Linked DNA regions of Rattus norvegicus. The protein of the gene in region 2 interacts with the protein of the main gene of each other region in a pairwise test. Links are inferred from orthologs where the notes say so. Each region holds a gene or a part of one and is shown on either strand. Other genes may lie near its edges. The genes, in order: Rbfox1, Atxn2 and Sh3gl3.

The links.
Region 1: the proteins of Atxn2 (region 2) and Rbfox1 interact in binary tests that used the Homo sapiens proteins (3 or more experiments, as listed by UniProt). The link is inferred for Rattus norvegicus from reciprocal best matches to the Homo sapiens genes ATXN2 and RBFOX1.
Region 3: the proteins of Atxn2 (region 2) and Sh3gl3 interact in binary tests that used the Homo sapiens proteins (3 or more experiments, as listed by UniProt). The link is inferred for Rattus norvegicus from reciprocal best matches to the Homo sapiens genes ATXN2 and SH3GL3.

The regions. Positions count from the first base shown.
Region 1 is NC_086028.1:8,994,184-9,004,125, forward strand, and holds the start of Rbfox1 (RNA binding protein fox-1 homolog 1), read right to left. Parts: upstream 5,209-9,942; 5' UTR 4,980-5,208; coding exon 4,893-4,979; intron 1-4,892. UniProt on the Homo sapiens protein: RNA-binding protein that regulates alternative splicing events by binding to 5'-UGCAUGU-3' elements. Regulates alternative splicing of tissue-specific exons and of differentially spliced exons during erythropoiesis.
Region 2 is NC_086030.1:40,503,858-40,513,737, reverse strand, and holds the start of Atxn2 (ataxin-2), read left to right. Parts: upstream 1-4,306; coding exon 4,307-4,497; intron 4,498-4,534; exon of another isoform or gene 4,535-5,199; intron 5,200-9,880. UniProt on the Homo sapiens protein: Involved in EGFR trafficking, acting as negative regulator of endocytic EGFR internalization at the plasma membrane.
Region 3 is NC_086019.1:145,530,531-145,540,472, forward strand, and holds the start of Sh3gl3 (endophilin-A3), read left to right. Parts: upstream 1-4,224; 5' UTR 4,225-4,358; coding exon 4,359-4,403; intron 4,404-4,481; exon of another isoform or gene 4,482-4,661; coding exon of another isoform or gene 4,662-4,700; intron 4,701-8,377; exon of another isoform or gene 8,378-8,463; coding exon of another isoform or gene 8,464-8,472; intron 8,473-9,942. UniProt on the Homo sapiens protein: Implicated in endocytosis. May recruit other proteins to membranes with high curvature.

The DNA.
Region 1 (9,942 bases), on a different chromosome or scaffold from region 2:
CCTAAGACTGTTTGTTCCCTACTCTTTCTCTAAGACAGAATCTTTTCTTGTAGTGCATAAAATCTTAGCAGGATTGCTTAGTGATCTGTTCATTTGTTTGGTAGGCAGACAGATATTCACAGCCTAGGAGGCCATTGCAGATGGATCCCACCTTCCTGTTGCTCAGGTAACTCTATAAATGGAAGCCCTCCTAGGGATTTAAATTACCATGTGAAAAGCTGGAGCTATATAGAATTCCTTGAGGCCTGCTAAAGAAAAGTTACTTCCTTAAAGCCACACAGAATCTAAGTTTCCACCTCTGGGTGGAGACCTGGGGACCAAAGCCTTATGTTCTATCTTCATTCTGTTTTTACAACTCAAGCCAAGTGGGCCTGTAGGTCATCTGACCAGGAGCCCACCCCACCAACCGAAAGTGGACTTAAGAAGAATCAGACTGATTATCCTTAAATAAGTCAATGTGCTGATCCCTCCCAGATTGTATCAGCTGCTCAGAAAAGAGTAACTTTCTTTCCACCGTTTCTTGAACAATCCACCAAAGCCTAAGCAAGCTTTCCCTGACATTCTGGGCTTCTTCATGGATTCTCTGAAGGCCGGCACTGGCTCCCCTCCTGTCCACCCCACCTTCCCATCAGGCAGCTGATTGCTGTCCCCTTTTCTCAACATACCAACTTCCAAGGACCTCAACTCAAAAGATGGGGTTTTCTCTTTCCCTCTGCATTTCTTTCCAGCCAGCAGCTGCTCAGATTCACAACTTAACCTATCCTGTTGTTTTTCTTTCAAACCCTGGTAAACACTGTCCTGGAGATTCCTTCTGAGTCCCCTTTTAAATTCTTTTATTAATAAGACTAAGAACTCCAGAAGGAAAGCGTGTTTATATGGTACCATCCTTTCTTTAAAGGGTGTGTTGGTTGTTTTTCTGTACTACCAGGTAAGCAATACTGTGTGTCAGCATGCACAGGGATGGGCTTCAAGCATCTTCAGTCAAGTATGTGATGTACTGTGATGATATCTATCCACTCACTCTCCCCTCCCTTCCACTCTTGTTAGAGCCAATCCCTTTCGTGGTGGCTTCATTACCACTTCTATGCCCTATGCCTGTGTGTACATTTATGTGTTTAACGTCAAACCCTGGAACAAATGGCTGAGGTGCCTACTTAATATATCAAAGCAAACCTGGCCGCTAGGTTCTCCCAGGATCCCACAGTCCCTTCCTTACCTGTTACAAGGTATGGCTGGCATACTCTGTCCTCTACCCCAAACTCTCCAGCCCAGGGGCTGGGTTGCCCCTCCTCCTGAGGCTCTTCCCTATATAATCCAGCCATTTTGGATACTCACCCTTTTTATAACCTTTGCCCTCTTGGCTGCTACACCTGGTCCCCCTCCCCCTCCACACCTCCCCTAACTCTCTGGCTCAGGGCCATGTCCACGCTGGACTCTCCCAGATGTCTTTGCCTCTGTTTATTCTCTGCCTTTTATCTATAGGAGACTTTCTCCTTCACTACATCTAGGAACAGACATGTCCTTCCTTTTTATTTCCTTTTTTAATTCAGTATGCATATGTCACTATATGCATACATATACATACATATACATATAATCTAGGATGCGCAAAGGAGAGAAGGCATCTCTGTCTTTCTGATTCTGCTGTATCTTGTTTAATCTGATAATCTCCAGTTCTATCCATTTTCCTGCAAATGATATCATTTCAGAAGCCATCATTTTTGAGGCGTACAGGGACCTCAAAAGAGTCACTGTGTTTAGGAGTGAGGCTGCTTCAGTCATATGTCCAGGCAGATATGTACATCAGGGCTATAGATCTATGCTTGCTCCACAAAGCCGAGAAACACTGTATTCAAAGGCTAAGCAAACACACAAATGAATTATGAAGTCCCTGTTCTGATTTTATCATTTGTCATTGTATGAGCACGGTCCATGGCTTAAGTAAACCCTGTTGTTAGCATCTGGATTCAAGAGTGACTTTGCCAACGACCTTGACCTCTTATAATAACAGTAGCTCAGTCAACTCAGTGGTAAACCAAGATGGCACTTGGAATTCAAGACAAAAGAGAGGTCCCAAGGAAATTACTTGGGTCTTTCACCCTAAGACACCAAGACTGGGCTCATGGTCTGGCTGCACTGTGTGCTCAATAGCATCATTTTGTTCCCTGCTTCCTTTTGAGTTGTTAGTACCTGTGAAACAATGCAACCTGGTTTAGCCTCAATCTCTACAGCCATTGTGTGATTATCTATGTAGTTAGAGGAAAACAAAACAAGCAATCATACTTATTTATCTGCATACTGGATAAGTTTCGACATAAGATAATGGGTGAATGGGATACAATATGGTAGACACTGGCTTTCCTGAGTAATGGAAACCTACCAATGGAAATCTCATGTTAACTATGGGACTGACTTTAAAGAAGAGTCCATGAGAGGGACCTAACTAAATGTGCATCTGTAAGCACTGACTGCAGCATGAGTCTGGTGCTCTCTTAAAACTTAAAGATGCAAATTATTTTTTCTTTAACTGCACAAAAAATGAGCCATGCCGGCCCACATTTCAAAAGTGTCTCAGATATCAATTCAAAACAGAATATCTTTGGCCACAGAACTGTTGACTGTTGTGTTTGGGAAGACTGTAAAATTGTGAACAGTACCTCAAGCAGCTTGCCAGAGGCCCCTGCACATAACCACTGATGCTGTTCCCAAATATACAAGCACAAGGGGTCGTAGCAAGGACGAGTCCACACTCCCGGTAGTTTAGTTGTCTTGCTGACATTACTAAGTTTCTAAAGAAATTTGAATCCTGGCAGAAGGGTCTTTATTCTTGACTTGGGTGAAACTCCCTAAGGCTAAGTGCCAAGGTAGCTAGGGCAGGAAGTGGAAGGTGAAAGGAGAGCTAGGCTTTCCTACCCCTTTCTATCACACCACATCCTTTTCTTATGAACAGAACTGCAATGGGAGGTGTTGTAGTTTCTTCGAGTCAAGTGGTGTGGCCTCCACAAACAGCAAGACGGCTAGCACCTCCATGTGCACAGCCTTGCAGTGGAGTGGGTCCCAGTAGCTCATCAGAGGCTCCTCACTGACACACTCAGAAGAGCTTGTAGGTCACTAGTTCAGAAGTTTTCATTTGGGAAACAAATGAGAATGGATCAGGTTAACATTTGCAAGTAAAATAACTTGTTCCATTCCAAACTAACCAGTTATGTTTCTCGAACATTCTGCCAAAGAGGAAGAAATAGTGCCTTCCCAGCTTCTCTGTTGGCTCTGGCGTCTTCTCATCTATCATTGGGGTAATACGTTCAGAGTGGCATTTTGTAATGACAGAAACATCCCAGCAAATCGATAGTTATTTAATTCCCAACAAGCTCTCGAGTCCATTAAACCTGATTACATTCACCCATTTCGGTGGGTACCGTTATTCTCCTGCACCAGCACTTAATCTATAACAGGAACTTATGAGAACTTTCAAAAGCAATTTCAGCATCAATCAGCATGGAGTGAAATGAGCGATTTGCTTGTAATTATTTATCGGATAGGGCAGCACAGGGGCCGACAAAACTCCAGCCTTTGACCTTCACCCCAAATTTCCAACAGAAGCAAAAAGCACTGTAACTCTGCTTCACCCTCACGTCCCAAGTCTCATGTCACCATCTGGCCACAAATTCTTTTCCTTGTTGTCAGGACTATTCTCTGCCTGGCCTATTTACCTATAATATAGAAGTGTAGCAATAGCATACATCCAGGGTCAATGGCAGTTCTGGTGTTGTCTGGACTAACTGCTGGATAGATTCCACCACCCAGCTTCTGACAGTTAATAAAAAGTCACAGTCACAGTCACAGTCACAGTCACAGTCACAGTCACAGTCACAGTCACAGTCACAGAACAAGAAGAATATTTGTTTGGGATCCTCCGCAGAAGTCGTCATTAATGAATTGGTCTTGTAGAACTCTCAAACAGAGAGTGTTGGGTAGGGGTAGTACGACAGGACAGAAGCTAAAGTGTCCTGCATATATTTAATTTTCCTTTCCCACAGAAAGGAGATTTAGAATTTATTACCCAGGGCTGGTTATTTCCAAAGAACAGCAACAAATAGCCACTTGCTTCCTACAATGACCCACTTCTATCACAAGTGGATGTCGGCTTTCCAGAGAACTGCAGGCATACACCCAGAAGCAACGGGTTTGAGTGACAGCACGGCGGTACAATAAGGCAAAGAAACAGGTCCCAATTTCTCGCTAGCACATGAACCTCTCGGCACACAGAATAATAGCCTTAGCAGTCAAAACAACAGGCATTCCAACTTCTCCCTGGCTGCCGAGAACAGTTGGCATGGGGTTTCCAGAGTCACCCCTGAACTTCCTAAAGAAACCATTCTCAATGTTCTCTCTTGTTTGTGGGTCACCTCTCAGATTCAGAAGGGGGAGCCTCTCTGCAAACAGACAACCTGTGTGGGGTGTCCTCCGTAGCACTGTAGTTCCTGCCCTTCGGTTTCCGGGGTTAAAGCCTTTAAGCAAGCCACAACATGATAAGTTACTGAGCCTCATGATCTGCTCTGGGAGACCCAGTCCCTCAGAAAGCTGGGGAAGAGAGCAAATCTTTTGCCCCCTGGTCAACCTCCCGAAGCAGAGGCATGAATGTTAAACAGCACCCAGATCAATACAAGCAAATACAGCTCAACTACACCATTTATTCATCCATGAGAGATGTCAATAGCCAGATTAAGGTGATCCATCTTTTTGATTTCCTACTGTCTTTCCTTTGACTACACGAGGGCTGCCTTTTTTCTCTTCCTGTATTAAAAGTGTTTGCTTTCTCAACCATAAAAATTCCAATTATTACTCAGAGCACTCTGGAGTTAAGTTGCTTGCTGGCAAAAGCCATGAATTACCTGCATCAGTCCCGGGAAGAAGGGGGCAGCAGGCACAACCATAGGCACGCCATAAGAATGCAGAAGGACTCCTTGCGACGCCAACATGCTTTAAATGGAGGCTTTATTCCCTCCAAGGCTGAACACATCAATAGAGAGTTAGAGGGGGAAAGAAATCTATAGACCCAACTTCTTCTCAACTACAAAGCCGAGAGCCAAATCGCTTCTGTCAGGAGCCAAGTGCTCATCCACAGGCGGCGGAGAGGGGAAAGGAAAGAAAATCCTGCATCAGCAACTCTTAATGTGAAAGTTTTCTTCACAGACAAGGAAGGGACGCGGCAGCTGCAGGGTCGGAGCTACCAAAATGGAAGGAGCTATTTTGGGAGCAGCTCGCCCAACATGACTAACCAAATACTCTTCATTAATTTAGTTCTCAGACCGAGGGAGATGGAGTGACAGGGAATCAGGGAAAAAGAAAAGACATTTGTCCTGAGGAACTGGGCCAAATTGCAAGGGGCTGGGTCTACATGAGATTTTTAGAGAGAATAATGAATAGAAATGTGTAAGCTTACAGGACAATCAATTTCAACTTAGAAAACTTAAATCTTTACCTATATAAACCATCACCGGAGCCTAAGTTTAAGTTCTAAATTGCAACTGATTGTTATGTAAACTTATGGACTATCATATATGTATGAGGACCCAAGTTTGGATCTCCAATGCCCGTGTATGAAGTCAAGCAATGTGGCATACACGTGTATTCCCAGCACTGGGAAGACGGAGACAGGAGGATCCTGGGTCTCACCTGTGAGCCAGCATAGCCGAACAGAAAGTTCCACATTCAGTGGTTCAGTGAAAGACCCTCTCTTTACGTAAGTAAAAAGCAATAAAGGAAGATACCTGGAGATCACCCTTCGACATTGCACATACATTTTCATTCTTATACTCATCCCCCCACAGTTATGTACAAAAACCAAACCAAACAAAGAAACAAGAACAACAACAAGAAAAATGACAGCAAAAAACCCACTCAAAGGTAGCAGGTTCATGTGGGCAGCTGATCAAAAATTACCTAAGAATAATCAGTATGTGGTAGCAAATCTCAGTGGTCCTGGAACTCAGAGGTGGGTATAGGAAAATCGGGAGCTCAGCTGTATAGCAAGTTTTAGGCGAGCTTGGGCTACACGAAACTGTCTCAAAATATTTGACTCACTTTCCTCCCCTTTTTTCACTCGATTTCAGTTTGAAGAGGCAATTCATAGCTAAAAGGAAATAATAGCAGAAGTCTGAGTAAATTAGTTTTGTGGGTTATTGCACTCAGTCCTTCCACATCTCTGAAGCAGGGGCTAATCCCGGACCCAGGAAGCCAAGTAACCATGAGGAACCCGAACGCACGCTAGTCAGCCACTTTGCAGCCAGTAGGAGGCAGTGCTGAATTTAAAATACCTCATACACAATCCCTAGTTGTCTTGCTGGATTGCACTGTGACTTGTGATCTAGAAATGTGTTAGCTATCTTGGGGGCCACAGAGTAGGTGCAGACTTGCTGGTGCTGTGTTCATGTGTGAAGGGATTTCACATGGCTTTTACATGTGTGTCCCAGCTGTGATACATGAATCTGCTATATATTAAACAAAGATGAATTCCCTCCCACCACCCTCGCTTTCAGAGATGAAAGGTGTTGAGGAGTATGCAAAGTGAAAGCTGGGGTGTCCCTTTCCTAGCTCTACCGTCTCGAGCAACTTCATTTGCCTCGTAGACTCCAGATCTATTTGGGCATGTAACAATGTCAGAATATCTCGTCACCTCCTTGCAGTGTGCAATAGAGGGAGTTAATCACCACCGGTTCTGCTCTTCCCCTCACAGTTGGTATTCACCCATCTTTGACTTCAGATGTGAGGGCTCAGATGATGATCAACTGGCATGTTCCCACTTTTCATACCAGGAAATATGTGGGCATAACTAGCAATCTGGAACTCTCATGAAGTAAGGGCTGAAGACAATTGAAGATGGCCTTCATAGGGCCTGGCAGATAGCTCAATTGGTAAAATACTGAGGAAGCTCGAAGGCCTGGCTTCAGACACCCAAGACCTCTGTGATAAGCATGGTAGGACCATCCTACAATGCTAGCACTCATTATGCATAGATCAGAGGATCCCTGGGGCTCATAGCCAACTAGTCTTGAATCTGTGACATTTGTATGCAATGAGACACAGTCTCAAAAAACATAAAGAAAGGAATGTAAGAAGTTACCAGACATTGACTTCTGGACACACACACACACACACACACACACACACAATGTCACCTTCAAATCAGACACCCCCTTGCCACAAACCACTTTTCTCTCTCAACAGGATGCACAATATAGATTTTGTCAAAATGATGATGAGCGAGAACTTCAGACACCACCACACCATACCCAACTATTGGCTTTCCCTAAGCCCAATGTCAATTCGTCCACTTTCAGATAGCCAAGGTGTTTTTACACTACACTAATTTTAGTTGCTTGATTTAGCTACATAATTACATTTCTAGATAACGACAGCAGACAGGGTTTGGCAGAGAATTCAATTATTTAAGGCTGGAGGTTTGGCCATCTTGACAAGGTTTCTCTGTAATTGATTCACATGCATCGGAGTGGCCATGTTGTGCAATCCCGAAAGCTCCTGGAACAGCTGCACACTGACCCATCTCATAAGACTGCCCAATACCGGTTCTAACTTTAGCTTCTCACCATGACTTTCAAAACCAGATTTCTGAGAAGTTAGCAGCAAGGACAGACACATTACCCGAAACAGGTATGTTTTCTAGTTGACTTCCCGTTGACAACCAAGACACAGAGGCACTCCTCAGTGCTGAGGGAAGGTCCCAGGCACACTGAATTACAGCTCAATGGTATTATAAAGTGCAAAAGCTGTGGTGGCAGAAAGCAGGACGCACAACTTATTCATTTAGAGCATAAACTGACGTATGTACATCTTGAGTACACAGATGTAGAAGAGTGTGAGGGCAAAGTTCTGCAGGTGCTTTGGCAACTTGGGAATTGTATAAATGTGACAGACAGACCAGCAAAATTGGGACCGGAGAGATGGCTCAGCAATTCAGGGTACTTGTTCTTACAGAAGACCCAGAGCATGACCCTAGCACCCACACAGTGACTCACAATGATCCCCAATTCCAATCCTTTTGATCTTTATGAGCACCAAAAATTCACATGGTACACATACATGCAGGCAAACCCTACACAGAAAATAAAATAAAAATAAATTAATACACAAATACAGCATATTATCACATGGATCACTCATGTATAGCCACAGTTTTATTGAGGAACCTGCTAGTTCGATTTCAGTTGACATGGGAATGTGTCACATAAGGGGCAGAGTGACAGAGCTATTGATGACACATATGGTGTTTTCTTCTTTCTTTTTGAGGAAACTGTGCTATAAAATATTTGCCGTCTCTGCCACTATCTTCTTTCACCTCTCAAAGGCAACTCTTTTCACTTTTCCTGCCAGGAAAGTTAGCGTCCAATGGGATGCTGAAAATCAGGATGGGATATTCTCCACCTGGCAGCCTTTATGGGCCGCAGCTGCCTATCCCAACAACTGCCAGTCCTGACCACAGTGACCGCCATTGTCTCTGGTTCTGACTTTCCACTTACACATTATTCTGGTATGGTTGCAATCCCTACAGTATTCTAAGCCAATAACAAAAAATCGTGACCGAACTACCGCTATTAAGTGAATTATATGAAGCCTCATTTTTTTTTCTAACAACTGCTTAATTTTCCCAAAGTACATCTTACATTAATACGTTATGATTTTTTTTTCTTGGTTCACTAACTAGAAGGTATGCTACATTTTGTGTAGCTTCACATTCTCCAGAGCTTGGCGTAGACACTTGGTGAGGTTATGTATCCAACACTCAATATTAAGCTCATGATAAAATTTACAAACTTATAATCAGAAAAAGACAGTGAGATAATAAAATACAGAAAACGAGATGGTGCAGATAGTGGCTGAAAGCACAGCCAACGGCCCCACATGCCTTGTGTTCAAAATGAAGGGCCACATTGTGTGGACTGTCCTGGGTCTCCCTAGATATTAAGTAAGTGTAAGTATATATGTGACAAATATCTTTGGTGAATACCCTATTCTCTGAGTTGCAAGCATTAAATATCTGGCTATTGGAGCACACAAAACCACCCAGGGACAAGTGCAAATGAATGATTGTGGTCTGGTTTCATACGACTTTGTTAAGAGGCATTAAAACTTATATATCCTTGGGTTTTCCTGGAGCATGGAATATTTTTCTCCCTTAAATGCTTTCAACCCCTTAAAAGTGTAAAATGGGCCAGGCATGGTGGTGCCCACCTGTAATTGCAGAAATCTGGAAGCTGATGTGGGAGGATTATAATTTCAAGGCCAGTGAGAAAAGGGGAGCGGAGTGGGGGGGGGAGAAAGAATGAGAGTACCTAAGAAAGAAAGAAAGAAAGAAGAAATAAAAGAAGGAAGAAAGGAAGGAAGGAAGGAAAGAAACAAACAAACAGGAAGGAAGGAAAAGGAAGGGAGGAAAAGGAAAAAAGAAGGAAAGAGAAGGAAGGAAGGAAGAAAGGAAGGCAGGCAGGCAGGCAGGCAGGCAAAGCAAAGTTTCAGCAAGAGATCAGGGCATTCATGTCCTAAGGATTGTGGTGAACAGTAGCTATGTCCCAAGAGACTAAATCCAGCCCAGAGAAAGGATGAGGATGAAATCTGGACACTGTAAAAGAGCTCATATTTGAAATTGGAGTATATGGGTAAATGTAGGTGTATGGTGGTTCTCGAGAGTCTAGGGGACTTAGGGGTTCATTTCATTGTCTGAGGCATGACTCAGTCCTTGGAAGAATCGTTTCTTTCCTAAGGGAAGCTGTGTCTACATGAACCTTTCCAGTACCTCTTGCCAGTTTCCCTCAAAGAAGCTGAGGCTCAGGCACCATGGGTTAACCACCCAAAACAAGCCCTACAAAAGCCAGTTCTCCAGCTTTGCTGCTGAACAAGTTTGACCATATCCTGGGTAACTGCTTTCTT
Region 2 (9,880 bases):
AAAAAAAGAGAGAGAGAGAGAGAGAGAGAGAGAGAGAGAGAGAGAGAAAGAAAAAAAGAAAAAAAAATGTTGGATGTGCCAGGTGTGAGGCAGAGGCAATCAGATCTCTGTGAATTCCAGGCCAGCTAGGACTACAAGGTAGAGAAGGATTTGGGAAGTCACCTGATGTTTATCTCTGGCTCTATGAACACTCACACATACACAGGCATATGCATGCACAGTGCAGTTCAACTTGGTGATCCAAGTTCCAGGTCTCTAGTAGGCAAAGGCTTCAGACATGGAGATTTGACTGAGGTGTGACCTGTTACCAAATTTATTCACATGCCTGTGGCAGCCATCAGGTCCCTGCTGACTGTGGTTGTAGTCTCAGAACCTTGCCAAGTACCTGCAGATTTTACTTTATAACTTTAAAGTTAGCTTATTTTTCAAAATTCTACCCTTTTTATTTCACATAGATGTATTGATTTTGCGTGTTTCATGTGTGTGGATGTGCACCTGTGGCCAGCCAGCAGACAACTGTAATGGGAATCTATTCTCTCCTAACATATACAGATGCTGGGGCTTGGACTCAGTCCTCAGGCCTTTTCATATATATCTAACAAAGTCAGGCTTTCTTCAAATCCTCTCCTTCACAGTGTGCTTGGGACATGGCCTTGGCTGTTCTGTTTGTATAAGTCTTTTCTTAGTCTTTTGTCATCACCCCACTCCCTGCCCGATTTCCTTTCCGTTATTTAAAAGCCTATCTTGGTATTGGAAAGATCATTCAACCGTCAATGGTTTGAGTATTGCTTGCTCTTCTAGGGGACCCAGGTTCAATTCCCAGCACCCACATGGCAGTTCACATATGTCTCTAACTCAAATTTCCAGTGGATCTGACTCCCTCCCCCCACAGACCTATGTGCAGGCCAAACACCCATGCACATAAAGTAAAAATAAATTATAAAACAACTTTAGGGGTTGGAGATTTAGCTCAGTGATAGAGAGCCCTTACCTAGCAAGGGCAAGGCCCTGGGTTCAGTCTTCAGCTCGGGGGGGGGGGAACCCCAAAACCAAAAATAACTTTAACATGCAACTCCTGGTATTAGTGATTAGTATACATTTTACTAATTCATTTTCAATTTAGGAATCAAGCACTGCTTCAAATACTAGACTTGTTACTTATTTTGGTTTCTTTTGGAAACAGTGTTTCACATGGCTGGTAAAAATGGGTTAGTTAGTAGCCAAGGTTGGCCTTGAACTGTTTTCCCTCCCACCTCTACCTCCGAAGGGTTGGGATTCAAGGCTTGCATTCATTTAAAGATGTAATTTTTTTTTTTTTTCTTCTAGAGCTGAGGCCTGGATCCAGGGCCTTGGCTTGCTAGGCAAGTGCTCTCCCACTAAGCTAAATCCCCAACCCCTCAAGGTTTGCATTCATGTCAGGTTTCTTCAGGCTAACTTTATAAAGGCCCACTACATTTAGGAAGACTAACTTTCCCTCTCTCGATGTTCTTAGGAAATAACAATAACAATTATTTTTTAAAGATTTTATTTATTTATTTATTTATTTATTTATTTGTTTGTTTGTCTTTTTTGGGGGGCTGGGGACCGAACCCAGGGCCTTGCGCTTCCTAGGCAAGCGCTCTACCACTGAGCCAAATCCCCAACCCCTTATTTATTTATTTTTTATATAAGTGAGTACCCTGTCACTCTGTTCAGACACACCAGAAGAGGGAATCAGATTGTGTTGCAGATGGTTGTGAGACACCATGTGGTTGCTGGGAATTGAACTCAGGACCTCTGGAAGAGCAGTCAGTGCTCTTAACCGCTGAGCCATCTCTCCAGCCCAACCTTTTTTAAAGTGTTCGCCAAATGTGACAATTTTTTTTTAAAGATTTATTCATTTTATTATATATAAGTACACTGTAGCAGTCTTCAGATACACCAGAAGAGGGCATTGGATCTCTTTACAGATGGTTGTGAGCCACCATGTGGTTGCTGGGAATTGAACTCAGGACCTCTGGAAGAGCAGTTGGGTGCTCTTAACCGCTGAGCCATCTCTCCAGCCCCAAATGTGACAATTTTTATTTGGGCTATGAGGTTAATTTAATTTCAACTGGACTATACTAGTGACTCTAATACGCTGAGTTTTTCTTTTTAATTATTCATGGATGGACCAGGGGTGTAGAGCTGGAGAGCCACCACTACGCCTTAGGCTCCCTTTCTAAAACTGACACCCCAGATACATTTTTCTTTTTTTAAAAGTCATATTTTTGGCTGGTCACAGTGGAGCAGGTCTTTGATCCCAGCAGGCCGGTGGCTCTTATGTGAGTTCCAGAACAGCAGGGCTACACAGAGAAACACTGTCTCGAAAAACCAAACAAGAACAAGAATGAAAACCACCACCACCAAGGTCATACTTATTGCTTATATATGTGTGGGCACACAACTGGCACAGTCCAAGAGAGGAGATCTGGGGACAATTCCAAGGAGTCAAGTTTTCTTCTTCCACATGTGATCTCCAGGGATAAGAGTTAGAAGGTGAGCTTCTTCCGCGGCTTGGGCCTTTACCTTCTGAGCTGTCTGCTAGCTACTTTTTAATCTATGTAGACCCAGCAAGTCTGGAACTCAGAGATCCAGTATCTGTCCAGTGTTGGGATTAAAGCCATGTGCCGTAACCAGGGTTCACTGCTCATTTAATTGTCCTGGGTCTCTATTTTTTTCTTTTCTTTTTTTTCGGAGCTGGGGACCGAACCCAGGGCCTTGCGCTTGCTAGGCCAGCGCTCTACCACTGAGCTAAATCCCTAACCCCTATCCTGGGTCTCTTGTAGGTTAGCCTGGCCTAGAGAATTCCCTTGTGTAGGTGAGGATGACCTTGACCGGCTAATCCTGCCTCCATTTCCTAAATTCATACATTAAAGGCATGAACACCATGCCTGCCTTTAATTCCCGGGAATGATTTTAATAGATTGACTCGGATTTTGCTGTCCTCTGCCCATCATCCCCTTAAGCAATTTCACTTAAAAAAACAAAAAGAAAAAAAACCCAAAAAACCAACTAAACTCATTGCAAAAAGTTACCCATTTGCTTCCAATTTAATTACAACACCTTAAAAAAAAAAAAAGGGCTAGTTTGGTGGCCTTCCCGAGTTAAAGTAAAACTTTTTAAAAGGGGTCAAGGTCTAAAGTTGACATTTTTGCGAGGTCTCCAATGAGGGAGACCCCATTATCCACGGTAAGACCCCCATTACCCAGCTCTACCAATCACGTCCATTTCCCTTTGGAGTCGCCTGAAGGAGGAGTAAGACGTTCCAGTGAGGGGAAAAAAGGGTTCAAATGAAGGTCAGATACCCAACAGTTCGCTGGGGTGAATAAAGTGGGGCAAAGTGAAGCAGCTGGCGGTGGCTTCAGTGGTGGCAAGCTTCCCACGCTGGCAGGGAAACCAAGCACGCAGTGGCACCTGGGGGCCTACTGTGTGCCAGGCCCGAATGCAGGTCTCCGCCCCGAAGGCGCCCGCGGGCCATCCTCTATGTTGCATCTGGTGGGGGGGAAACCAAGGTCCCCGAAGGGGGCTGAGGACACCCGGGCAGCCCACGGTGCCCGTCCGCGAAGCAGGGCCAGCGGCCGAAGACAAGCATTCCCTCCTCGAAGGGCAGACCCGCCTCAGCGAGGGCGGATCCCCCACGGCCCTACCCCGACCCCGGAGAGCGAACGCGGCCCAGCGCTGCGCCCGCTCCTCACGTGTCCCCGATCGGCCCCCGAGCCGTCTCACGTTCGACTTCCGCCTGACCCTTCCGACTTCCGGTAAAGAGTCCCCCCCGCTCTGTTTCGCATCTCCGCGCCCTCCAGGCCGCGTCGCCCCGTACGCGTCCGCGAGCCCGGCTCCCATGCGTCCGTCGACAGACGCCGCTCAGCGGCCCGCGGCAGGCCCCGAGCCGCGCCGCCTGTCGGGCTGGGCCGCGCGGCGCTCGCTCCCGCGGACGGCGCGGCGCGGCGGGCGGGGCGGCGCGGTAGCATATCCCTCCGCCGGCCCTCCCCCGCGCGGCCCCGGCGCCCCTCCCCGCGGGCCGCGCTCGCCGCCCTGCGCCTCAGACTGTTTTGGTAGCAACGGCAACGGCGCGTCCCGGCCCGGCTCCCGGCGGCTGTTCGGTGTCTGCGGGCCTCCCCGCCCCTTCGTCGTCGTCCTGCTGCCTCTGGCACCCGCGACCGCGCCAGCCCGCGCCTGCCCGCTCGGCGTCCGCGCGTCCCCGCCGCGCTCCGGCGTCTCCTCAGCGCGCCCGGCTCCCGGCTGTCCCCGCCCGGCGTGCGAGCCGGTGTATGGGCCGCTCACCATGTCGCTGAAGCCGCAGCCGCAGCCGCCCGCGCCCGCCAGTGGCCGCAAGCCCGGCGGCGGCCTGCTCTCGTCGCCCGGCGCCGCGCCGGCCTCGGCCGCGTCGACCTCGTCTTCCGTGGTGCCGGCCCCTGCCGCGCCGGTGGCGTCTTCCTCGGCGGTCGCGGGCGGCGGGCGTCCCGGCCTGGGCAGGTGGGTGTCGGCTCCCCAGCCCCCTCCGCGCCCGCCTGGCCGATCCCGCGCCGCTCGTCCCCTCCCCCGCCTCGCCCCGTGACCGGCCGGCGTAGCGATGGGCCGGGGGCCCGCGGAGGGGCGGGAGGCGCCGGCAGATCCTTCGGGCTTCTCAGGCCGTGTCCAGCCTCCCGCACCATCGCGTCCCCTCCCCCCAGACGGCCAAGATGGACGGCCCGGGCGGCCCCCTGCCCCTCGCGTGTGTGCTAGGGGCGATTGGTCTCCCCGCCCCACCCCCTTGCTGGGTCCCCTGCCTGTGATGGAAGAGCGGCTGAGCCAGGGTGCAGGTCGCAGGGGGACCCTCTCCTGAAATGAGCCTCACTGCTGGGTGGGGAGTCGGGAGGGAGGAGGGGAGATTGAGGCCCAGCCGCCCCAGGTAGGGTCAGCCGGGTGTCCTGCATATTCCCGCCTCGCAGACCCTGGGAAGGTGGGCGACCGAGGCGAGGTGGGTGGCCAGCGGCCTTGCGCACCCATCCCCCTTTAGATCTGGGGCGGCGGGGTTCCCGCAGCGGGCTGTCCTCCCCCAGCTGGGGAAGGGGTGGGAGTGCCCTGCTCCCTCCAGGCCCGCCTCCCTCCTTCCCCGCAAGGTCCCCTGCGCGCGGGTGGTGGCCGATCCGCATTGCTGTTTCTCGTCCGCGGAGCAGAAGGCGCCTTTGAATAGAGGTGGGCGAGGGCCGGACTCGAGAGGTGGGTTGGCGGCGGGCACCGGACACGCAGCTCATTTTCCCTCCCAACCCCTGTCCCAGTTCCTGAAATTTTTAGGGGTGAGGAGCCTCCACAGAGGAGTTGGTGCGGGTCCCGAAGGCAACGACGCGAGTGTTGGCTTGCGCCCTCGGCCCCCTTTCCCCTTCCCTGGGCCCGATTTCGTTGGTAGGAGCTGGAGGAGGCTGGGTGCTGTCCTGTGTGACTGGGCTTGACTCTGGAGGGTGTGTGCGCGCGGGGGTGGGGAGGGGTGGGGGTGCTTGTCAGTTCGTATTTCACGAACTAAGAAAATGCTTAGTGTTAAAACGGAGAGGCAAATGCCAATAGACTCCATTCCATTGTGGCCGGTGTCCTTAACTTGGGAAACGCCGCCGCCAGAGCTTACCAAGGGCATGCAAGTCCATTTCCCCTGTGTCCCTGTGTAACAGGCACTACTGTGCCTCCCTCTGGCCTAGGCCTGGCTGGCAGGGCCTCCTTAAATAGACATCCAGGACTTAGGAGGTGGGCAAGGGGAGTTTTCTTGTTTGGAGTTTTCTTAGCCCCATTGTCCAGCTGTCCATTTCCAGAGAGTTCCTGTACAGCAGAAGTTAACCCGCAGGGTGAATCAGAGCCGGGTTTTAAGGAGTTCTTCTGGGAACAGTATGTGTTTTACTTTATTCCCCCACACTCCCAATTTTCCCAAGCATGAGGCCTTTCAAACCCTTCTTAACCCGCCTCGTTCAAATTAAACCATCATTCTATTTCCACGGTTCTGCGAAGTTAGGGTTTGTAACTTGAGTTTCTTTTCCGTCCTTGACTTTTAGTGAAAAACGAAAAAATATTTAAATTTAACTTTAAGGATACATGTTTTTCTTTGCTTTTTTCATGTTTTAATCTTTGGTTCTCAGGAAGTGGCACGCATTTACGTTTTGTTCAAATACAGATTAAAGTTCCTGAGCCTCGCTTACTCTGTAGGCTTAAACATTAGACTGTGGCTGGCTGGACTCCACAGGGAGGGGCAGGGTATTAGGACCCCTGTCAGTCTCTGCTTTTGAGGCTCTGCAAAAGGGAAGGGCATTTAGAGCCTTCCCTGCTTTAAGTTCTCTTACTTGGCGCATAGGTTTCTTTTTAAGTTTCCTTCGTCCAATGCCTGTGCTCAGAATGGGTACTTTTGTTCTGTACAGAACCTTGGTTAACGCCATCCTCCTGTTCTTACTCTCCTCAGGGTTGTAAATGCATTGTAACTTGTAGAGTTTTGCTTGGGTTTGTGTGTGTCATTTTAAAGTAGGGCTGGCAGCATGGCTGTGGAAGGGCTATGTAGCATCGGGTGGTGGGGTGGCTCAGTGGCCCTTGCGGCCAGGCTTGTCAACCAGGATTCCCACACCTCTGCTGCCACAGCAGGAAGCAACTGACTCCTGCTGCAAGTTGTCCTCTGACCTCCACACCTGCCAGGGCATGTCCCCTCCTCCACAATAAATACACTTGAAAAGTGGCGTTGATGTTGTCATGTTTGAATTAGCAAAATGCACTTTACTGCCGCCTTAAGCACTGTTTCCTTTCTGGACCCTCCCCAACCTGGAACCCCAACCCAGGCCTTGTTTTTGCTCGAAAAGGATTTTGCTACTCAGCCAGCCTGGATCTGACTTGATTTTTGTGTGAACAGAATTTTGTGTGATTTTTGAGAACAGTTTTTTCCCATCATCACTTAGAGGCCACTTTCTTAGAAAAGAACCGTATGTGATCACTTTTTAAAAATCTTACCACAGTTGCACCCGAATCTACTTACTCTTGACTTTGACCTTTCGTGACGTCGTGCTCATGTGTGATGCAGCCTTCTTCCCCTTTAATCTGGTGACTTTCTTTTTTAAATAACTTATGCACTGAGCTAAGTTTCTACCCAACGGCTGGGGCTTTGCTCTTTGTGTTTGTGTTTTGTAGTGGTGGTGAGGTGAACTTCTTCACTAGAAGCTTTTTGCTTCATCCTAATTTTTCCCTAGAGAAAGTGGTGCCCAGGAGTGGTTTCAGTAGGTCAAGGACTCTAAGGTTTTATGGCTCTCATAAGCTGTGCCATGTTATTTCTCAGAAGGCTCAGTGGGTTCTGGAGCCAAGAAGGCAGCTCTTCAGGGGTGGGCTCTATGTACTTGTTGGATGCTGTGGGGGAGTGTTGCGTGTAACATCAGGGTCCCTCACAGACATGGCTTTCCTGTGTTTCCTGGTCATGGCTGTCTTTAGATTTATTTTATATATGTAAGTGCTTTGCCCGTTTGCATGGTAAATATACTGTATGCACGTCTAGTGTCCACAGAGGCCAGAAGAGGGCCCTGCATTCCCTAGAACTAGAGTTACAGACATCTGTGAACACTGTGTGGCTGCTGGAATCCCTGGGTCCTCTGCAAGAGTAGCCAGTGTTCTTCACCCCTGAGGCATTCATCCTGTCCCTCTTATTTCTTTTTGGATTTTCAGATTGTTTTTCTGTATATGAGTGTTATGTGTGCATATTAAAAGTGCCTGGTGCCCACAGAGGCCAGAAGTGGTCTCTGGATCCCTGGGATTGAGTCAGGGAGAGTTGTGAGGCCACCATACAGGGCCAGGTTCCTCTGCAAGGGGAACAAATGCCAGGCCTGGTGCCATACGCCTTTCATCCCAGCACTAGAGATGGGCAAGTGGATCTTTGGGGCTCGAGGTCAGCCTGGTCTCTGTAAGGAGGAGACTTATAAGTGCTCTTAACCACTTCAGCCCTTGTATTTGAGTTTTACTTGAGCTTTTTTTTTTTTTTAAAGATTTATTTATTTATTTATTTATTTATTTATTTATTTATTTATTATAAGTACACTGTAGCTGTCTTCAGACACCTGAAGAGGGCATCAGATCTCATTACAGATGGTCGTGAGCCACCATGTGGTTGCTGGGATTTGAACTCAGGACCTCTAGAAGAGCAGTCAGTGCTCTTAACCACTGATCCACCTCTCCAGCCCTTTACTTGAGCTTTTACTCAGACTGTATGTGAAGACGCTTTGGAGCCTGTAGTGTACACTGCCAGTGCAGATCCAGGATTTCTGAAGGAACTGTTCTAAAACTTTCAGGCTGTTCAAAAAAACTGTTAGACATTTTGTGTTATTAGCTGTTAGTTTATGATCACTTTTGGGGAAAACAAGTTAGCTGGTGGTGAAGTGTGTGGTAGGATTAGCTGAAGGAGGTTGAGGCAGGAGGAGGATCATGAGTTACAGGCCAGCTTGGGCTATACACATTTACAGTTTGGAGGTGATGTACACCTAACATTCTAACATTGGGGAAGCAAAGACAGGTAGCCTGTTGTACAGAACAGCCAGGGCTACACAGAGAAACCTTGTCTTGGAAAAAAACCAATTTGTTGTGCATACCTCTTGTCTGTCTGGTGCCTATGGAAGTCAGAGAGGAGGTCAGATGCCCTAGAACTGTAGTTAGGGTGGTCAAGGGATGCTGGGAACTGAACACAAGGTCCTCTGCAAGGGCAGACAGTGCTCTTAACCGCTGAGCCACCTGGCCACAACCAACCATGTATTTATTTTTTTGAGTTCAGCTTTGTTTTTGAATAGCAGGGGAAAATGACCTTGAACTTTTGGTCTGACTCCCTAGCCCCCCACCCGGCTGTTGGAATTGTAGGTGTGCACCTCATTTATGCAGTGCTGGGGTGGTCATTCAGGCTTATCTGCATGCTGGGCACACATTGTACCAATGTAGCTGCATCCTATTTGGTGAATCATGGGTTACTTCATAGAGAGGGTTTAGTGGTGTGATGGACAGCATCCGCTTTGCTTTCTTTTAAGATTTATTTTATGTATATGGGTACACTGTCACTGTCTTCAGACACACCAGAAGAGGGCATCAGATCCCATTACAGATGGTTTTGAACCACCATGTGGTTGCTGGGAGTTGAACTCAGGACCTCTGGAAGAGCAGTCGATGCTCTTAACCACTGAGCCATCTCTCCAGCCCTTGTTTGCTTTCTTTGTTTTGAGACAAAACTCTCACTATTTGTAGCCTTGGGCTTCAAGGCATGTGCCACTCCTGGCTTATAGGTTAGACATCTTTTTTTTTTTTTTTTTTTTTTTTTTTTGGTTCTTTTTTTCGGAGCTGGGGACCGAACCCAGGGCCTTGTGCTTCCTAGGTAAGCGCTCTACCACTGAGCTAAATCCCCAGCCCTAGACATCTTTTTAAAAGTACTTTTTAAGATTTATGTGTGTATGTGTGACCTTGTGTGCTTGTGTATCACATGTGTGCAGGAGTCCTGAGGAAACCAGACAAGGGCACTGAATCCCCTAGAATTGGAGAGAGGCAGTTGTGAGCTGCTGTGTGGGTACTGTGAACTGACCTGGGTTTTTTGGGAGCTGGGTAAGCATTTTTTTTTTTTTTTTTTGGTTCTTTTTTTTCCGGAGCTGGGGACCGAACCCAGGGCCTTGCGCTTTCTAAGCAAGTGCTCTACCACTGAGCTAAATCCCCAACCCCATGGGTAAGCACTCTTAATGAAGGAGTCAGCTCTCAAGTCTGACTTGTAGCCTTTGTTGTTGTTTTTGTATTCTCTTTCAGAGAGGATATCTTACACATTTCTCACAGTCCTGGTTGTCACTGTGTAATCCAGGCTGGTCTCTTAACTCACAGAGATCTATCTGTCTCTGCCTGCTGA
Region 3 (9,942 bases), on a different chromosome or scaffold from region 2:
TTTCTCAAAGAACTAGCTCTTGATTTTGTTGATTCTTTGTACTGTTTTCTTTGTTTCTAATTCATTGACTTTAGTCCTTAGTTTGGCTTATTTCCTGCCCTCTACTCCTCTTGCCCCAAGGAGAAGTCAAGGACCATGAGGAAGACACCAAAGGAAACACTGAAATGTACAACATAATACAAACCCAAAACGAGAGAATATAACTTCTTCTCAGGACCTCATGGAACCTTCACCAAAACTGGCCATATAACAAGACACAAAATCAGCCTTAACAGATACAAGAAGATTGAAATAACCTCATGCATTCTCTTAGGTCATTGTGGATTAAGGCTTGACTTCAAGAACAACAAAAACAACAGAAAGCCTATATACTCATGGAAACTGAACAACTCTAGTCAATGATAACTCAGTCAGGGAAGAAATAAAGAAAGAAATTAAAGACTTTTTAGAATTCAGTGAAAATGATGGCACTTATGGGATACAATGTAAGCAGGGTTAAGAGGAAAATACATTGCACTATGTACTTTCATAAAGAAATTGGAGATATCCTGTACTAGCAACTTAGTAGTACACCTGAAAGCTCTAGAACAAAAGGAAGCAAATGCCCTTGACTCTTAAACAGGGCATATTGAAATGTTCTGTACCTCAATGTTTTTATACTTGGCTCATCAATGCCTAGAAGATATTTTGTTCTCCATTGCTTTGCTAAAGATGTGCTTCTGTCTATTGTTTCTTATATCTGAGAGTTTTGCTTTAAATGCTTCAAAGCAATTGCATTCTTCCAGTTTTAGACTGTCATGTCGTCAATCAAACATGAGAATGTTTGCTCCTTTTATCCAAATAAAAGAACAATATCATCCTGTTAGCAGTTCTTTTTATTTCAATATTTATATTCCAACCTTTTATATATGCTACATAGATCTGAATTGATGCATTATTTTTATTAGTGGCTATTAATTTTATGAAATAATAGGTTTCATTGTAATATTTCATAGATGTGTAAAATGTACTTTGATCATATTTATTCCCCATTACTCTCTTCAGTAGTCAAGGGTATTTGCATATGGCTGCTGAACAGAAGCTATCCATCCTTAGGTAGATGAGGGGTAATGATGTTGTAAAGGGCAACCCTTGAGATGACCAATGTGGTTTAAGCTAACTTGCAAGGCAGGCCTAGCAAGGTAGATTAAGACTTGGTTAGTATTTCACAACATTAGTTAGGATGCTTTCTTCCCTCTCCATCTCATCTACCCAGGATCCTTTGAGGTCATCACCCTGACATTAGATAGATGTGAGTCCACATGACCAAACACAAGAGCTGTCAGTACCCACAGATTCCAAAGCTGGTGCACAGACAACATACAGAAATGTGGATGCAACTAACACAGTATTCTGTGCACCAGGGAGGAGTCAAGGAACATGGGAAAGATGCCTAAGGAAACACTGAGGCATACAACATAGTATGGGTTATCTCAACGAGGTGCCATAACCCTAGTAAGTGCCCAAACATCTTCCAGTTCATAGGAGTGCTTGTCTGTATCTCAAGACTCTTCTGACTCCATCAGAACGATATTTCACCTCTTGCAGATTCAGTTTAATAGTCAAAGGCATGTATGTACCTCTTCTCTGAATGGAGGAACCATAGGCATGTGGGTGGCTGATGGGTGATGATTTTGTTAAGGGAGAGCCTTGACATGGCCAAGGTAGCTTAAGCCCCTTCCTTCCTCTTCCCCCTCTTCCTCCTCTTCTTCCTCCACCTTCCTACAACACAGGGTCTCATTATGGCTGCCCTAGAACTCAATCTGTAGACTAGGTTGGCTTTGAACCTGCGGATATCTGCCTACCTCTGCCTCCTGAGTGTTGGGATTAAAGGTATGAGCCACTACTCCTAGCTTGAATCACACAATTTCAAACCTCTGCCATACATATGTAAAGTGTAAAAATCTTCAAGATGCTATTTGATCACAGTAGCAAAAGTCTAACATACCTTGACTTAAAAGCTCTTAATAACTCAAAAGTAGTTTGAAATTTTTTTGAATAACATTTGGACCAAAAAGAAACCAAACGAATGGCCAAAAATTATTTTTATAGAACAAGTAAAACATCCATGTTGTTTATAAAGACAAAGCACAAAACCCAAGCCATTGTTAGTTCAATATCTGCTTATTATAAAGTAACAAGAATAAAAATGAGTAAACCATGTAAATGCGTCTATAATGGAAGGATCCCTGAGTTTAAAAATGGGAAGGAACAATCTACATGTTCGCATTTGAATAAACCAAGAAGAGAGATTATCACAAATGACCACATAAGGAAACGCAAATATGCTATCGTAATGGTGAATTCTCATCGTCAACCTGACAGGATTTGGAGTCAACTAGGAGACACATTCTGGATGTACCCATAAGGGAGTTTTCAGAGAGGTTTGGCAGGAGGGAAAAACCTCCCTGAATGGCTGCCATGATCTCATGGCTGGCGCCCAAGACTGTACAGGAAGAGATAAAGGAGATAATAGTTGGGTGGCAGTGTGAACCTCTCCCTGCTTCCTGACTGTCGATGCAGTGTGACCTGCTGTCTCGTGGTCCCTATGCTCCCATGGCCCCCAATGGAATCTGCCCTGTTCCCTAGGACGGAAAGTTCCCTTCAAATTGTGATTTCCCCCTCAAATCAGAACAAGCCAAATGAAACCTGCACAAACCTAATAAAACTATCAGCCATGAAAAAAAAAATTGCCAATCACCAGCTTTGAAAAGAACCTGACTCCTAGGGGGCACAGGTTTAGCCCGTGCTGTTTAAACTTCTATCGGGTACAGAGGAGGTCAGCAGCGAAACATAGATTAGTTCAGGACAAGGGAGACCATCTTCACCAAAACCTGTTTAGTGTGGATGGGACAGCAGTGGTGACTGGTCATTTTGCTGTACTATTCTGACCCAGTGGTCATCCACCATCATCACATCATCTACCTCTGTCTGATGTCAGCAAGCCCTTGGCTAGCTAGGACCAAGAGTGTTGAGTCACATTCAATAACCTTGTCCCATGATGCTTGTTAAGGTGTCCACATCTTCTCTTATATCACAGGCAGGACACTGTTGACACCACACTTTCCCAGCCATTGTGAGCAAACCTAGGCACAGAGACCTGCGAGTCCTCACCCTGTCACATTAGGGTGAAGCTATGAAGGGTCAGGCAGGGCTGGGAGCCAGGAGCTAATGGTTCTGGAGAAATGCTAGAGCCAAAGAGAAGCCCGGATACAGGTGTGAACTGCGAGCGTTGAGGACAACAGTAGTGTTGATGACCCCTGACCCGACGTTGGGAAGCGTCCACAGAATGCCATTCCTTTTAGGTAGAGACTGAAAGTTGGATGGTGTTTGTGTTGGTGTGAAGCATCGCTGAAGTGGATTGAAGGCATTGGGAGCCACAGGGCCTTTGAAAGGTCAGATTCAGGGAAAGTAGACTTGTTGGTGGCACAAGAATTGATGCAAGGTCCGTTTCTGTGACTGGGTAGACATACTGTTCAGTAGGAGCTCTAGACCCTGTGGAAAGGGTCCGGTGTACAGGACTCTCCCGAAGACCAGTCTGAACAATACTCTGGTAAGTAGTGGAATGGAAGACCCTCTTTCTGGCACCTATAATGGACTGGTTCTTGGTGTAGCCGATAAGAGGCTCAGCACACCTATGAGACTAGTACTGAATTTATTAAGTAAACTACCAGGTAACTCTCCCAGGGGGGTCCAAACCACTCAGGCAGACTGTGCCTAAAGTACATACCTAACTGTCCACAAGCAGGTTTCTCACGTCTAACTATAGTTCCGGGTTCCTGTGGTTCCTGTGATGTTTCTCTACTTGAGATGCACATCCCAGCGTTCCTTCCTCACAACACACATCTAAACTAGCAGGGCCGGGGTTTGGAGAGGGGAGATCTTGCTACCAGTGAGTAAAAGCAGGTTTCCCACCAAGACCCTGAAGAGCAGAGAGACCTCTCGCCCAGAACAATTGCAGAGCCAGCTGCATCCCAAGCCCTACAAAAGAAGTCCTGAGAGGCTGGACAACCCAGGGCCAGCCTTTCCACTGGTCCTCTTCCTGGCTCAAGAGATCCTGGTCGCCACGCAACAATGAAGCGTGGGCGGTCCCAGCAGCTTCATTTGCATGCTGCCGCGGCTCGACCAATGAGCTGCGTTGGGGCCTCGAAACACCGTGTTGCTATCTGCGCGCGCGCGTGTGCCAGTGTGACAGCGCCGTGGCGGTGGCCGTGGCCGTGGAGCGCGCGGCGACCGCCCGGGGTGCCCGCTCCGCTCAGCGTCGCGGCCGCGTGGCCCGGCGGAGCCCCGAGACCACCCCCGGGCGGGGCGCCGCCGCGATGTCGGTGGCTGGGCTCAAGAAGCAGTTCCACAAAGCCAGCCAGGTAGGGAGGCGCGCTTGAGGGGTTTCTGGAGGCGGCGTCTCCAAGGGGTTGCGGGCCATAGACTCGGGGTCTCCACAGTCCTCTTTCGGTCTGGGTTTCTGGTCGCCTATGAAGGCGCGGGGGCGGGTAGCGGTCGCGCGCTCTGGGCTGCGCGTGTTGGTGCCTCCTCCCCTGAGTCTCGGGTCTCCCGCTGCGCCCTGGCGGTTGTAAATCTGACCGGTTCGGCTGGCAAGGGATCGGAGGTGGTGGGCTTGGGGGATGAGCTCCGAGAGGAGATCCTTCGGGACCAAGACCGTGGTAGGCCTCCCTCCTACCCGAATCTCCAGTCTGTCCGTTGGGAAACCTCCCCCACCCCCATTCCTCCGGACGCTGAACTTGCCCCCTGGCTGGGGCTGGGTAGTCTTTCCCGAGGTTGGGACTCATCGCTGTGGTCCTTCCCTTGCTGGCCGTCTTCACTGGGTTGGCTGGAGGTTGGCACCAGGTTCCTGCTCTCAAAGAGAGTGTGATGAGGAGACCCAAAAAACACACGTAAACAAACCGTGCTAGACACACCTCCGCGGAAGAGAGTGGCAGGTGACTCTGGGAGCTTAACGGGAAGCTTCCAGGAGGTGAAGACATGGCATTTGGGGATTAAGCTCCAGAAAGGATTGTGGCTATAGACTGTTATAAGAGGAGGGCTTTCTGAGTAGAAAAAGCTGGAAACAGGGACACAGGAAAGTGTGTGTGTGTGTGTGTGTGTGTGTGTGTGTGTGTGTATCACAAGCAAACTTGCTTTCTAACACTACTCTAACAGCAGTGGTAGAGCCCATGTTGTAAAAATCTGTTCACTGGCACCTGCGGAATTTTTTGCCCTGTCTTCATTTCCTTCCCAGCCTCAGTTTAGCTAGAACCCAGGTGGGCCAATCGTATATGGAGTTCACATCGGTGGCCATTCCCCATTCCTGCTCTTCCCTCATATCGATCTTGAGATTGCAGCTGGCCTTAGGAAATTATTTTTCTCTATTCCAGGCGGAAAGACACTGCTAGTCCCCCAGTCACAATTGGTCCACAAGGAAACTAAGTGATGGCTGTTCCCAGCAGGAGACATAGGGCAGACAGTGATGCTATTCAGGGTGATAGAAATCCTGGAGGAGGGGCATGCTGGGTGAGAGTAGAGATGCTGGATTCGCTCTTGGATCTCTAGTACTTAAAAACGCCAGTGGGATATTTCAGTTGTCATTTGCTTTTGGGCTATTGGCATATCCTACTCTGGAGTCTGCAAGTAGTGATTTTGGGGAAATTCCAATTAAAATGGACGTTTTAAAATGGGAGAGAGGCTAGTGGAGTCACACACAGTAGTATTTAAAGAGAAACTCTAGGGGACGCCACTCTCACCACAGGCACTGGCCACACTTGGACAGTGCTTAGCCCAGTGCTTGCTGGGCAGTGAGTACTCCATAAATGTATGTGTAATAAATGAACAATAGTGAGGTTCAGAAGGAATGACTGCTATCACAAGATCATGAGAGGGGCGGGGAGGAGTCGAGTCATACAGAGGGTGGGTAAGCTGGCAGCTTCTACTTCTTTGGTAATGCTGGAGCAGCTAGGAGTCCCAGAGCCTCTGTGAGCTATGCCATGCTTGAATAACTGCTGGCCATGCTGTGACATTGTCTTCCTTAGCCCTGGCAGGAAATAGGGCCCTTTGTTTTACACGCACACACACATATACACGCACACACACACACACACGCACGTGCACACACACACGCACACGCACATGCACCCCGCTTCTTGGATATGAACTTTATAGGAACGGTCTTGTGATCACCCAGACTGAGCCCTAGGCACTTCAGGATGGCTTGTGACCGTGTTGCAGAGTGGGTGATTGAAATCCTTGGATGTTATTGGAGTTGAGGAAGTCTACTGTGACAGGAGGCTTAGTTTGATTCCTTCTAACCAATCAGTTCAAAATAACATGAGACCTTCCAGGGACCATCACTGTCCTTGGGGGCAGGTGTGTTTCTACCTAGGCTCTAAACCTTTCCTTCCTATCTCTGACATCATTTGTACTTCTTTTGAAAAGAGAGGCATGCAGACTCTCTCTGGACTTATTACTGTGTGGTTAAAGTACCTGACAGATAAGTTTCAAACCTGTTCTAGATATTTCCATACTTCCTGTTCTTCTCTTCCCCGCATCTAGATCTTATAGAGCCCAGTCTAGCCTCAGACCAAGCATGATCATAAGCTTCTGAGACCCCACTTCTACCTCTCCAGGGCCGGGGAGACAGGAGGAAGCACTCAGCATAGTTTCGCAGCTGAGGACTGAACCCAGGGCTTCATGCATGCTAGGCAAGTGCTCTCCTATCTGAGCCGCATCCCTGCTCTCAGACTTCTAGAAGTCTTTCTTAGAAATTATGCAGTGCAACCAGCTTGGAGAAATTAGGTTTTGTTTAATTTAATACAAGGGAGCAGAGTAATAAAAAATGCCAGATGTTCTCAAACAGCATTTCCACAGCGGGCTTTAATTCACTTGGAGCTTTCCTGGGGCAGGGAAAGGGAGTCCCGAATGACATCAGTGGTTAATAATTCCAAGGGATTCAAGGCTGGCTCCTTGCCATGATCAGTTCTGCGACCTTGGAAACGTGACTTAACCCAACTGGGCCTCCTTGGCTTTCTCTCTGTATGATGAATGAGAGGATTCAGAGGTCAGGTTCCTGTGATAAACGTGATTGGGCAGTGTCTGCAAAATTCTGAATATACTAAAAGAAACATTGGATTGCATGCTTTTAACTTTTAAAAGGTGTGTGTGTGTGTGTGTGTGTGTGTGTGTGTACTATGTAGTGTGTGGGTGCCTGAGGAGGCCAGAAGGGAGCGTTGGATCCCTTGGAGCTACTAGGGTTCTAGGTGGTTGTGAACCACTCAGTCTGAGTATTGTGAACTGAGCACTGTACTTACTGTGTCCACTGCACTGGAAGAGCTGAGAGCTTTTAATCATAGAACCATTTCTCCAGTCCCTTGATTGTACACTTTAAATAAGCTGCATAGTATGTGAGTTTTAAGTGTTGCACACACTCACACACATATGCAGACACATGCATACGTGCATACATGTACCCACACATGCATACACACACTCACAGACACATACCTGCACGTGTGTGCACACACACGCACACAAGAGAGAGACCATCCATGCATCCATCTAGACTCTGTGTGTGTGTGTGTGTGTGTGTATGTGTATCTCAGTTCTGAAATTCTTAAATAATTTACTTAAAACGTTTCAGAGAAAGACAAAGACAATAGGGACCTTTTACAAGTCAGGGAGTCTGGAGCATGGAAGGGTAAAATGATGGGATGTCCTGGCTGACTGCCCCCTCCTTTCCTAATCCTTCTCTGTCATTGAGGAACAGAGCCCTTTGCTTCCCAGAAGATGAGCTGTCAGCTCTGGAGATGATGCCTCATTGTGCCAGGTTTCTTGAGTTTGTCATCCAACACTTTTAAAACTCTTTACCGAAGTTTAAAATAGAACCAGTTGTTCTTCCTCAGGGATGTGAGTGGAGTTGGTGGAAGGAGATGCAGAGGTCAGGGCTGCCACTGTGCCTTCTTGCTGAGTACAACACATGAGCAGTAAAGATGCGCTCTGGTGGTGTGCCCATGTGGCCCTTCACTGAGTCTCACTGGCTGTGCTTTATTTCCTAGTACTTTCTCTTAACACAGTCACTGGTGGTGCTCAGGCCTGCATGCTCTACTAATAGACACGTTCTTTTCATTCCAGGACCTTCTGACCTCCTAGGGGCTTGGGTCATGTTCCCGAGAAAGTCCAGGGACCAATGTCATTTCTCCTCTCTTCCTCTCCCGAGTCATGTAGGCTCCATGATGAATTTACGTCTTTGTGGCTTCTATGCAACAGGACTGACCTGACAACATAGTAGGAGATGAGGAAGCCCTTAAGTTAGCGTTTTAGTAACGCATTCTCTCTCCTTTAATGCATCAAGTTCAAAAAGGCTTCAGGGGCTCTGACATATGCTCTGCAGACACTGCCTGTGAGGCTGGCCATTTAAGGACATTGCTTCAGAGGAAGATGGCCCTGGTAAGTGATTAGCTTCTCTAGGGAGACAATGAATGTCTTTTGTTTCACTTTCTCATTAGAGAAAAGATAAAAATGCACTTTGCGAAATCCATAATGATTTATTTTTTTCTCTTAGATGCATTGGAAAAAAATATCGAAGAGAAAACATTCTTGCTGTCTTTTCCCACAGACTGCTTGACAAATGAATCCATAAATCTGAACACTTTGGTTTAAAAGCCAGGGTCCTAGAATAGATGTCCAAACCAAATTGATTAGGAGTTTTTTTTTTTTAAATAACTGAAAGATCCAATATAAGGCAAACAGTTTTTACATTTTCTTCTAGAAAATAAAACTATAACTCAGGGTGTCCTTTGGGATTTAACTTTAAAGCACACTGGAAATGAGAGTTACTCCCTGACTAGATGACATTTTAGCTTTATTAAGTACTTTGAATACAATTGTATTTCCCACAGGAAGTATGTGGAGGGTTGTGTGCCGTGTAGGGACACGGTGACCCAGAAACTGAAGTTGTTGGTAAGTAGATGGACACAATGCTTCTCTAGTCAGCTCAGTGGCAGGTAAAATGGATGTGGATGTTGGAACTCAGCAGAGTGTGGCCAGTTAGATTCTTTCCACCTCTGCGTTTCTGACACCCAGGAAGTGCCATGTTGGGCCGGGAGGGGTTCATCATGGAGCTGCTTAGATGCCTGCGTTCCCAGTGCCTCTCTGAAGCAGCCTCTCATAGGCCCAGCTCATCACCCATGGTGGTGTCTTTCACTCAGCTCCTGGTTCTCTTTCCTTTTCCAGACAGTTCGAGTGTGATCCCTAGTTCTTTATATAGGTGAGGGTGACCTTGAACTTCTACCCTCACTACCACAGTGTCGAGGTTGTAGGCGTGCGCCATCTTGCATTTTCCTGGGAGCTCCTGCTTTTTAGTGATGATTCTTGTTGCTTTCCCGGGTTGCTCTCTGCCCTTTGGTAGCAGAGCTGGGGCTGTCTCAGGCTCTGTGACTTGCATTCATGGCTCTGCTCTAGGCCACACTTCAGTAGACCAGAGGTCCTGTTTGCTCATGTGTGGGTGGGGTTTTTTGTTTTTTTTTTCCTCTGCTTCTCTTGGTGTAATAAGGAACAAAATACAGGTGGCTAGTTGCGCCACAGTGCCTCCAAAACCTGTCATTTTCATCACTGCAGGGGCTTTGGTCCTGTGGCTGCATTCCTCTTCAGCATATTTCTTTGTTCTCGAGTCATTTTAATCAGCATGGAGATATGAGTTCTCCTATCTCAAAAAAGACAAAATCCTCCTTTGGCCGAGCCTCTCCCTCCACTCTTTGCCTCACTCTCTTATCAGCAGGTATTCACTCTCTCTTGGTTTCTGTCACACATTTTCTTTTCAGCCCATTCCAACTGAGCTTTCTCCTGTGCTTTGAAGCCATGCATGTTTTGGTCTTAAGTGTCCTTCGGTCTGATAGCCACTTCCACACTGGAACTCTG